Mus musculus: one gene and its partners. The protein of the gene in region 1 purifies or fractionates together with the protein of each later gene. This does not show direct contact. Links are inferred from orthologs where the notes say so. Each region holds a gene or a part of one and is shown in the gene's direction. Other genes may lie near its edges. The genes, in order: Ttc4, Hgh1 and Edrf1.

Region 1 (3,650 bases):
CACTCTCTCTTTCTCCCTCCCTCCCTCGCTCTCTCCCTCGCTCCCCCTCCCTCTCTTTCCTTCTCTCTCTTAAAAACAATTTTATTGTTGTTTAAAATTCTTTTTTCTTTCAAGTTTTATTTATTTTATGTATTCACCATTGCTCTCTTCAGACACACCAGCAGAGGGCATCAGATCCCATTGCAGATGGTTGTGAGCCACCATGTGGTTGCTGGAAATTAAACTCAGGACTTGTGGAAGAGCAGTCAGTGTTCTTAACCACTGAGCCATCTCTCCAGCCCTTAAAAACAAATCTTAAAACACACACACACACACACACACACACACACACACCCCATCTGAGATGGCCTTTATTCTCCCATTTGTAGACAAGGAATCTGAAGCTCAGACATGGCCTTTGTCCAAGATCCAGCAGGTAAATGACAGTCATTTTCTAGCCCAGCCCTGTCTGACTGTTGTTTGATGAGCTGGGCCCTGTATACCTGGAAGACTTGGAAGTTTTGAACAAATGGGGTTGAGAGTGATTTCTGATCAACAGTACACAAATCCTTCCTTGTCTAGGAACTGAACTACAAAGAGCCCTGTCCTGTCTGCCCTCCTGGGGCTGGCTGGTGACTGGTGAGGGAAGGAAGGCCTTTTCAAGGTGGTGCTTTCTGAGCATGTTGTTCTGAGATCCTCAGGACTCTGATTTCTGCAGGTGCCCTGTGCCATCTTGAACTGAAACACTTTGCTGAGGCTGTGAACTGGTGTGATGAGGGACTACAAATTGATGCCAAAGAGAAGAAACTTCTAGAAATAAGGGCAAAAGCAGACAAGCTAAAGGTTAGTGACTGTCTGCAGACAGTTTGCATTTGCTAGTTAGCATTCCTCAGATTGTGTCTCAAGTCGCTGTGGGAATATAGTGTGTGCATTCTAACAGTCTAGAGTAGTGGTAGCTGGCTTTGCACTGCCGACAGCAGAGTGTGAATGGGATTCTGACAGGTAGTTTGCTGAGAGAGGTGACGCCTGAGCCCAATCTCTGAATGACGGAATGAGAGTTTGCTGAGCAGCTGATTGATGCCGAGGGAGAAGACTGTTCCAGACAAGAAGCCCTAGAGGGATACTTCAGCAAATCTGAGTTTAATACTACTTTTACCACTGCTGAAGTGCTGAAATGAATCAGGACAAGTTCCTGATATTTCTTGGTCCCTGCTTTGAATATGAGAAAAATATATACCTTGAATGATTTTTTTTAATGAAGATGAATTGAGCTAAGCAAGTTTTCACACTTTCAAGAGATAATACACAATAGAGACCATGCAGTCTGCAGAGCCTGACACATTTGCTCTGTTCCCTTTGTAGCAGAGGTTGGCAGATCTCTATTAACTGCAAGCCCAGGGGGAAGCAGGAGCTGCTGGTGGTGGGCAGACTGGGGAGAAAGTCTGCCACCTGTGTTTCTCTCACTGATTTTAACTGTGCAGAAGGCAGAACCTGGGGTTTTCGGCAGCCATACCAGAGAAGTTGGGGTTCCCATGTAGTACTTGTCTACTCCACTGGGGACCTTGGATAGAGATGCCCTCTCTCCTTTATTGGTGGCATCTTCCTTGTCTGCCTAAGTCTACTTTGGGGGCACCATCAGGGTGACTCAGGGGTACACTTGGCTCTTAGCAGCATCCTTCACTGAATTGTGAGTTCTTGCAGTACAAGAACGAAGGGTTTTGTTTTGGTTTTGTTTTTTAAAGAACTAGGTTTTAAATTTCTGCCGACAGTGGGCCTGACTGTGGGGGCATGCTTTGTGGACGGTCACTGAGCCAGCCACTGGCAGTCTCTGAGCAGAAGGATGGTTTGCATAGAGACCAGATCTCTTGCAGGCTGGGGTAAAAGCAAGAAAGAGTTCCGTGGAGCTGACAACATCTGAATTATATTTCCAGAGGATGGAAGAGAGGGATCTGAGGAAGGCAAAGTTGAAAGAAAAGAAGGAACAGCATCAGAATGAGGCTCTGCTCCAGGCCATCAAGGTGAGTTCTCGAAGCATAGGCCTCACAGAGTGTGAAACCCCCTGGCTGTGTGAAGCCTCCTGGGGCCTTTGTTGGGGTGCTTTGCCTTCACAGCTGTGCTTATTACCCCGCCCGACCTCTGGAGTCAGAGCACCACGTTCAGTTAGCTTGTCCCTCCTGTGCCGGTCTCAGCAACATGCTGAGTGTGCGCTCTGAATAGTCATCCTCTCCCTCCCTCTCACGGCAGCCCTCTGGGGAAGGCCTTCTTCCTGGTTTACTAATCTTAGAAGAAAACCGCCCATAGTAATGGTGTCTGAGCCAGGGCCATGCTCATCACTGTAACATACTGCAACCCGAGAAAGCCACGCTTTTAGGATGTTGCTTTAATTAACAACAGTAAAACCCTTCCTGTCCTGCATTCTGAAGTGCGCGTAGTCTAGGAGGTCCAGTGGCCAAGCCAGTTAGTGCTTAGTACTTCCCTGAAGTGAGTGTCTGACCTACAACTTGAATCCTTGATGCCTGGCTAGTCTCCCATTCAACAGGTGATGCTGCCTGGGCTGAGGCTTTAGTCTCATTCTGTGTTCACAGTTACACACCATTTCAGTTACTGACTTAGAGAACTTAACACTGCTAAATCTACTCACTTGTCTCTCCCAGTAAGCAGTCTGGTAACATATATTAACAAATTCAATATGGGCCGGAGAGATGCTCAGTGGCTAAGTACACTGCCTGCAGAGGACCTGGGTTCTGTTCCCAGCACCCACATGGCAGCTCACAACTGTCTGTAACTCCTCACACAGACATACCTGCAGGCAAAACAGCACAGAATTATAACACACACACACACACACACACACACACACACACATAGGATGGCAGACAGATGCAGTGGCCCCATGTCTGCAATTCCAGTACTCGAGATGCAGAAGTGGAAGATGTGGAGTTTGAAGCCAGTTTCAAATAATAGTAAAACTCTTATCTCAAAAGATAAAATACAACCCAACAAACAGAACAGTACAGTATACTCCAGGTTTTTAAATTTGATATTCAGAGAGGATGTGGCCATTTTCTTGAATAAGAGACCCAGATAGTTGTATGTAGACTTTTTTTTTCCTTGACTGTATTGTATATGTGCACCACATGATTTATGTAGTGCCCACAGAGTAGTTGGGGTATTAGGAATTGAACCTGGGTCCTCTGGAAGAGCAGCCTGTGCACTAACCATTGAGCCATCTCTCTAGCCCCACATATAGATGTTTTAGAAATTTTCTAGTTATTTCTTCTAGTTAAGTCCTGTACTTTGGACTGCAGTACAAATTAAAATCATTATCAACAGTACAAAGCTGCCTTAGTTAGGGTTTCTCTTGCCATAATGAAGCACCATGACCAAAAGCAAGTTGGGGAGGAAAGGGTTTATTTGGCTTACATTTCCATGTAATAGTCCACCTTTGAAGGAAGCCAGGACAGAAACTCAAGCAGGACAGGAACCTGGAGGCAGGAGCTGATGCAGAGGCCATGGAGGAGTGCATTAGTTTGCTCCTCATGGCTTGCTCAGCCTATAAAACCCAGGACCACCAGCTCAGGGATGGCACCACCCACAATGGCCAGGGCTTTCCCCCCATCAATCACCAATTATGAAAATGCCTTACAGCTGGATCTTACAGAGGCATTTTC
Region 2 (4,191 bases), on another chromosome or scaffold:
AACAATCACAGTGGGGGCAACGTCTTTCCACTAATTAAGCCCCCACAGATGTGCCCATAGGCCAACTTAATTTAAAGTCACTGAGCTTCCCTTTCTAGGTGACTATTTTGTGTCAAGTTAACAAAGTTAACTTTGTTTAAGAGAAAAATCTTTTGAGACCAGCTCATTTTATAGCTCAGGCTGGCCTCAAACTTACACTGACCTTCCTGCCTCAGCCTCCTCAGTTGTGAGATTAGACAGTGACACGTTTATAAAAAGATAAGGAGCCGGGCAGTGGTGGCGCACGCCTTTGGTCCTACCACTTGGGAGGCAGAGGCAGGTGGATTTCTGAGTTTGAGGCCAGCCTGGTCTACAGAGTGAGTTCCAGGACAGCCAGCACTGTCTCCAAAACAAAACAAAACAGAGGCAAGGGAGCCTTTTCTTAGAAACTCACTAGCTGCTGTCAACAGCTGGGAAATCTGGACAGTTGGCCCTACACAGACCTAACCACTTTGCCATTGTAGCCGGAAGGATCCCAGTCAGTATCTAAGGTTGCATAGGATCTGGAACCGTGGCGGTTCCTGGCTATCTCCTACAAAAACCTGACAAGGACCAGCCCTGGAAAAACCCCTAACTCAAGATTTCTAATTTGAGAGAGCAAGGACCCCAGGCAGCTAATTGCTAATACAGGCACAAGAAGCACCAAATGGGATACTTTCCCAGAACAGATCCTAGTACTGAAATTATCTTCTGCTAGGGATTACGTAGCTAAGAAGGCCAGTGTCCTCCCATCTGTGCTAACAAATGTGCCGGTGGAAGGTAATATGGAGCCACTGAGAAGCAAAGAAACGCAGCGAGGTATGGAAGACAGAAACCGAACAGTGCTCTAAAGAGCTGGCAGGGGCGTCTGTCACCAGGTGCCCCCAAACCTGCAAACTATAGATTCATTTATTAGTTCCCTTTGCCCAAGCCTGCTTGACTCAGACTTCTGTCACTGAAGAGGACCTAACAAATGCACTAGAAAAAAAAATTTAGCCCCTCTGCAAAGTCAGAGACTGATCCAAAGCTGCCTTTTCATCGCAGAGTCCTGCACCCTCCGGTTCCTGGATGTCTGAAACCAGGTTTAAAAGGTGGCAGCAAACACTCTGGACACCAGGATCACCGGCTGCCGAGCTTCGCTTCAAATTATGCGTGCTGGTCGCGTGGTTCTGACTCCTGGCAAAGCAAACACGCAATAGGCAGCCGGAAAAGTCCTTGCAAGGATCTGGTGGTGGTGGTGATGATGATGGGAAGGGGGGGAGGGTGCATCTGCACCAGCTTAAGGGGTGCCTAATACTGTGGCCCACAATGCCTCGCGCTGAAACCGGCCCCGCCCCCTTCAGCCAGGTTCTCAGCCTCGGAAGGGTTTTAACGACTTCCGCTTTTCCGGCGGTGGCCCCGGCACGAGAAGTGACTGAGACTGCTGGCGGCATGCGGGGACCGGGAGTAGGTTCGGGGTTCTCTGGTGAGCGAGGGTTGCTAGAGCAGGAGGCTGGCGCGGACACGGAGGCGGTGGAACTGCTGCCCTTCCTGGTGCTCGGAGCGCGAGCCGACCTGCAGGCGGCCGCGGCGCAGCACGTGCTGGCGCTGACTGGTGCGGGCTCGGGCCGCACGCTGTTGGCCGGACAGCCAGAGTTGTTGCGGGCCTTGGTCGACCTTGCGGTGGCCCCGGCCCCAGCTCCTTCCCGCGATGCCTCCCGCGCGCTCGTGAACTTGGCTGCTGATCCCAATGTGCACTGGCAGCTGCTGGCGGCTGACCCGGAGCTGCCCGCCCGCCTGCTGCGCTGCGTGTTGGACCCTCAGTGGCCCTGGGCTGAAGAGGCGGCTGCAGTGCTGGCCAACCTGAGTCGCGAGCCGGCTCCGTGTGCTGCGTTAATGGAGAAGCTGATGGCCGCTGAGCCGGAGCGGTTGGGTCTGGAGCGACTTGTCAACGCGCTGTGCACGCCGAGCTACAACGCGGCCGCACCCCTGCATTACCTGGGGCCGCTGCTCTCCAACCTTAGCCAGCAGGCGGAGGTGCGTGCTTTTCTCCTGGACCCAGACAGGTGAAACCCAGTCGCCTGCGCGGGCGGGAAGGTGGGGAAGTGGAAGTGAACAAGGACAGCAGTGAATATCTTCTTTCAACAGGTGCGTGGTCCAACGGCTGCTGCCTCTTACCCAGTACACAGATTCTTCGGTGCGCAGGGGCGGGGTGGTGGGAACACTTCGGAATTGCTGTTTTGAGCATCGTGAGTGACAAGGAGGGGGTGGTGCCATTGCCAAGGTGGGGATTGGACCCTAGGGAACCCAACGGACCATTATTCTGATCTCCTTCCTTGTCCGCACCTCCAGGACATCACAAGTGGTTACTTGGGGCCCAAGTCGACATTCTCCCCTTTTTGCTACTGCCCTTGGCTGGGCCTGAAGAGTTTTCCGAGGAAGAAATGGACCGTGAGTGACTTGGGTGGTTGCCTCAGGGCTGTCTGGTGCTAGAGGGAAGACTACAAGAGGGAGATGGAGAGGTGTGCAGGTCTGGAGTCCCTCAGTCCGGCAGCCTTTAAGGAGGGGGTCGTTACAGACACACACAAGGCTCACCCAGGCAGAGCAGGGCTTGGGTGTTCAGCACAGGGACCAATAGTCTCCCACCCTCACTCCTAGAGCTGCCTGTTGACCTGCAGTACTTGTCACCAGACAAGCAACGGGAGCCGGACGCTGACATCCGGAAGATGCTCATCGAAGCCGTCATGCTGGTGAGCAGGGGCCTGGGGTGTTAGTGCCTCTCCACAAGTCCGTATTGGCATCCGAGTAACCTTTTTCCATCTTCCTAGCTGACAGCCACGGCACCTGGTCGGAAGCAGGTACGGGACCAGGGTGCCTACTTGATCCTTCGAGAGCTGCACAGCTGGGAGCCAGAGCCCGATGTGCGGATGGCTTGCGAAAAACTTATCCAGGTGAGTGCGGGGGGTCAGAAAGGCTAGGCAAGTGCCAATGGCTTATGAGCCCGCTCACCTGCCTCCTCTTCTTGCAGGTGCTTATTGGTGATGAGCCAGAGGCTGGCATGGAAAACCTGCTGGAGGTGCAGGTACCTGAAGACGTGGAACAACAGCTCCAGGAGCTCGACCAGCAAGAGCAACAGGAGCTCGCTCAAGAGCTAAGAGGCAACGGTGCCCCACACACCTGAAGCCCCTTTGGCCTGAATGCCAGCTTCAGACCCACCTTTGCCAGTGTTGGCGCAGGGTTCTAGGGTCAATGCCCAGTAAATGGTGAGAAGCCCAAGGGTGCTGCCCAATCCTGTGCCCTGTTGCAACCGGCAATAATGCACATAGTTCAGAGCTGCACTACTGAGCTGGAGCTGGCTGGGTTCTGTCACAGCTGCCTACAGATGAGGCAGGATGCCGGTGGTCACTGGAGCTATGAAGAGCCTATTCCCAGCTGGTGATAGGACTGGACTGAAAATACTGCAAGCCCTGGGAAGCCAACTAGGTTTTCATTCCTGAAGGCACTGAGGGGTCTGGACGTGGGTAGGCTTAGAGATGTAAACAGCGCCGTGAGCCCCAACCTTCGGAGTCTTCTTGCTTTCCTTGCCCAAGACCTTAAAAGACAGACTACACTTGGATCCTCGTCCCTTCCTAGAATGCTCTGCCATCCGAGCCTGTGAGCCTGTCTCTGGATGACTTGCTGGGTTTCCCATTTGCTGCCTCCGTTTCTCTGTTTCACCTGTCAGCCTCCTTATTCCCAGGTTGAATTGGGACTTAGCCATTCAGCTAGATAGAACCTGCTCCTTGGTTAGCTTTTTCAAGTCTCGGTTGCCTTTCAAGGCGGATTTCTGAGTTTGAGGCCAGCCTGGTCTACAGAGTGAGTTCCAGGATAGCCAGGGCTACACAGAAAAACCTTGTCTCGAAAAAACCAAAAAAAAAAAAAAAAAAAAAAGACATCCAGACTCTCCTGCAAGAGATTCTCCTGCGTGTTCTTGAAGCATTTACCCCTGTACGATCCTACCCCCAACATTTGGAGCCTACTCTGTGTATGCACCCCTTCTTCCTAACTCTGTAGATACCGTGGCAAGTTTTGCTCTACTGTGTCCCCCTTTCTGAGCTACAGATCTCACTCCACCTGTGAGTGACGTTTTCTTCAGCAACAGGTCCTTCCAGGTCCCTGAGACCTGTAGTCTCCAAGGGAGTTTGCAGTGTTCTA
Region 3 (2,572 bases), on another chromosome or scaffold:
TATTAAGAGGAAAACGATCTGTTTGACATGTGGAGACTGTAGATAGTAACTTCAGTTCAGTGGGTGACAGTAGGTTAAGAAGGGCGTGATCTACACAAGTTGTAAGAAGCTGAGGCAGGAGTCTGTGAGCAGAGCTCAGCTGCCAGTTTAGATTGGCACTTGTTGCTGAGTAGAGGGGCCATGTAGTTGCTCCATGCTTGATCAGCCCCAGCTCCCACTCAACTTTCTCCATGACATATTCTTTGACCATGTTTTTGTGACTGCTCCCAGTGCCTTTTTCCAGTGCCTCTGCTGGGAAGGCAGGGGTCTTTCTCTGGTTTACTCAACAGCCATAGATAAGTCAGATACTCTAAGAAGTGCCTGTTGTTTCCAGCCCCTCCCTCTATTCCCTCACCTGTTTGTTTTTAACCTCAGCAGTAACGCTGAAGAAGACATAGTCCTCCAAACCAACAAGCAGATTTACTCCCAGCTTTTGAGAGCGACTGCCAACAGAAACTCAACTCTGCTGGAAAGAATTGAAGTCGTCATCTGTTTGCTGGAGCAGCTTGCCTCCGGTAGCAGCCGATCGAGTGGCAGTGCTGTCCCCTGACTGCAGTGGTACTGGAGGACTGTCTTGTCAGTGCCTTCCCGTCCTGGAGCTGTCTGTCTGTCCACTCGGTGCTGAGACTTATTAAATATGAGGACATAGCGTTTAATCAGGTCCACAGTGGATACTTGCTTCCCATGGCAGGCAGAGGATGTGGGGTGGTTCGGCTTCTTGTGAAGGTGAGAAACTATAATGGAACCGAAAGCTTTGTAAATGTATTTCCTCGAGAAGTACATGGTTCCTTAGTGATAACACCTCCTGCGATGTCGCGAGACTTAAAATATTCTTGACGTTAAAACACTTAGGTGTAAGATGCGATTATTTTGGATAAAATGTTACTCTGGCCAAGGGAACTCTTATTCAAGTGATTTCATGGATTCAAATGGCATGTAGAAACAGTGCGCATCAGCGTCTACTTCTAAGTGACACAAAAGTGTCCCCTTTCCAAGCTGTGGTGTGCGCGGGAGGTTTTGACGACTGAGAATTGTGCAGGTCTCCTTTCAGTGCATGCTCTGAAGAGACTCCTTCTCTGACTGTGTATGACATTGGTAAAGAATAGGTACTATCACTTTCTCATTTTAAACTTGAAACTGTGAATAAGGTAAGAGAATTATTTTGAATAAATAAGCTATTTATTTAAAATACCTTGGTAGTTCCCACTTGCATTCTTCACACTGCTGTGATTTGATCTGCTTGCTTATGATATCAAACCTTTACAAAGTACATGGCTCCTAATTTTCAAGGCAAAGGTTTCCCCTACATTCCTGCTCCTGGGACATTCTGCTGTGCCCTGCTGCTCTGGGGATCTTGTCCAGTGCCCACTGCATGTGGGGCCGTCAAGCTGTCACTAACAGTTGCAAGGAAGTCCAGCATTTGCACCAGGCAGACTCTTGATATCTGGTATCTGGCCACAGTTACATCCCCTTCCACACCAGCCCCACTTACAGATGTGGGTTTCTGTCACTGGAGCAAGCAGGTCTCCATTGCAACAAAGCAGATTATTCTCTCACTATTTGTCTAGTTCCTTGTTTGGTTTGCATTGTTGTCATTGGAACAAATTTGCACCTGTTTACAAGAGTTAATCATTGCAACCCTTAAAACGTTGGTGAAACTGTAAAGCTTTGAGCCAGCTCCTCAGCCTCCTTTTAGGACGCCTGTGTCCTTAGCCCTGCAGCAAGTGTGCACACAGTACCACAGCCCTTCCTTCCTCCACTGGAGGGCCCTGTGGAACAGGCGAACTCATCAGGATTCCCGTGCTGCCCTAGAAAGAGGCTGGAGTGTTAGGACTACTTGTCTCCAAGCCCCTCTCCTTAGCTGAAAAGCCTTCTGATAGGAAAATGGATTTTAAGCAAGGAAGTAGAAATTTTGGCTCTTTCTCTTGTCATAGCAATAACATGAAAATTTCTGCAGGAGAAATAAAAGATACTTCTCAAATATGTTGTAATTACTTGTGTTGGTTTTAATTAAAGCCTCCTGAAGTATATGTGTTTTAGATGTTCCTTTAGAAGAGTCTGTGGCCTGGTCGCTCAGGTTTCTGAACCTTTTTCAGTTAGTTTGTTCAGATATCATCATCTATGACATTGGCTGTTGTGTTAAGAATTTAAGCCAGCAGGTGGTGGTAGAGGTGGCTGCTGTTGCTGCACATGCCTTTAATCCCAGTACCTGGGAGGCAGAGGCAAGCAGATCTCTTGAGTTCCAGGACAGCCAGGATTACACAGAAAAACACTGTCTTGAAGAAACAAACTAAAGAATTGATAAGCCATACTGTGTGGGAGTTAAAGGGTTAGTGCCTGTCCTAGAGTAGGAAAGTTGCACTTACCCAGCCAGCTTCCAGAGCCCTGTGGTGGCCTGACCCACAGGACAGAAGCAGGGAAGCCATGATCTGCCAGTTAGTGGAAGGGCCTGTGCACAGACAAGCAGGAGGCAATCATCACAGGGTGCAGACATAATGCTGTGCATGCTGGCGAGACCTGTTGTGTCACCCAA

What was found.
Region 2: the proteins of Ttc4 (region 1) and Hgh1 purify together in Homo sapiens (co-immunoprecipitation; 4 studies listed by BioGRID and IntAct, counting the BioPlex papers as one, with this or other methods). This does not show direct contact. The link is inferred for Mus musculus from reciprocal best matches to the Homo sapiens genes TTC4 and HGH1.
Region 3: the proteins of Ttc4 (region 1) and Edrf1 purify together in Homo sapiens (affinity purification with mass spectrometry; 3 studies listed by BioGRID and IntAct, counting the BioPlex papers as one, with this or other methods). This does not show direct contact. The link is inferred for Mus musculus from reciprocal best matches to the Homo sapiens genes TTC4 and EDRF1.

What each region holds. Positions count from the first base shown.
Region 1 is NC_000070.6:106,668,796-106,672,445, reverse strand, and holds part of Ttc4 (tetratricopeptide repeat protein 4), read left to right. Parts: intron 1-697; coding exon 698-822; intron 823-1,910; coding exon 1,911-1,997; intron 1,998-3,650.
Region 2 is NC_000081.6:76,367,507-76,371,697, forward strand, and holds Hgh1 (protein HGH1 homolog), read left to right. Parts: upstream 1-1,391; 5' UTR 1,392-1,449; coding exon 1,450-2,063; intron 2,064-2,145; coding exon 2,146-2,246; intron 2,247-2,349; coding exon 2,350-2,448; intron 2,449-2,655; coding exon 2,656-2,747; intron 2,748-2,825; coding exon 2,826-2,948; intron 2,949-3,025; coding exon 3,026-3,178; 3' UTR 3,179-3,905; downstream 3,906-4,191.
Region 3 is NC_000073.6:133,670,952-133,673,523, forward strand, and holds the end of Edrf1 (erythroid differentiation-related factor 1), read left to right. Parts: intron 1-414; coding exon 415-589; 3' UTR 590-2,066; downstream 2,067-2,572. UniProt on the Homo sapiens protein: Transcription factor involved in erythroid differentiation. Involved in transcriptional activation of the globin gene.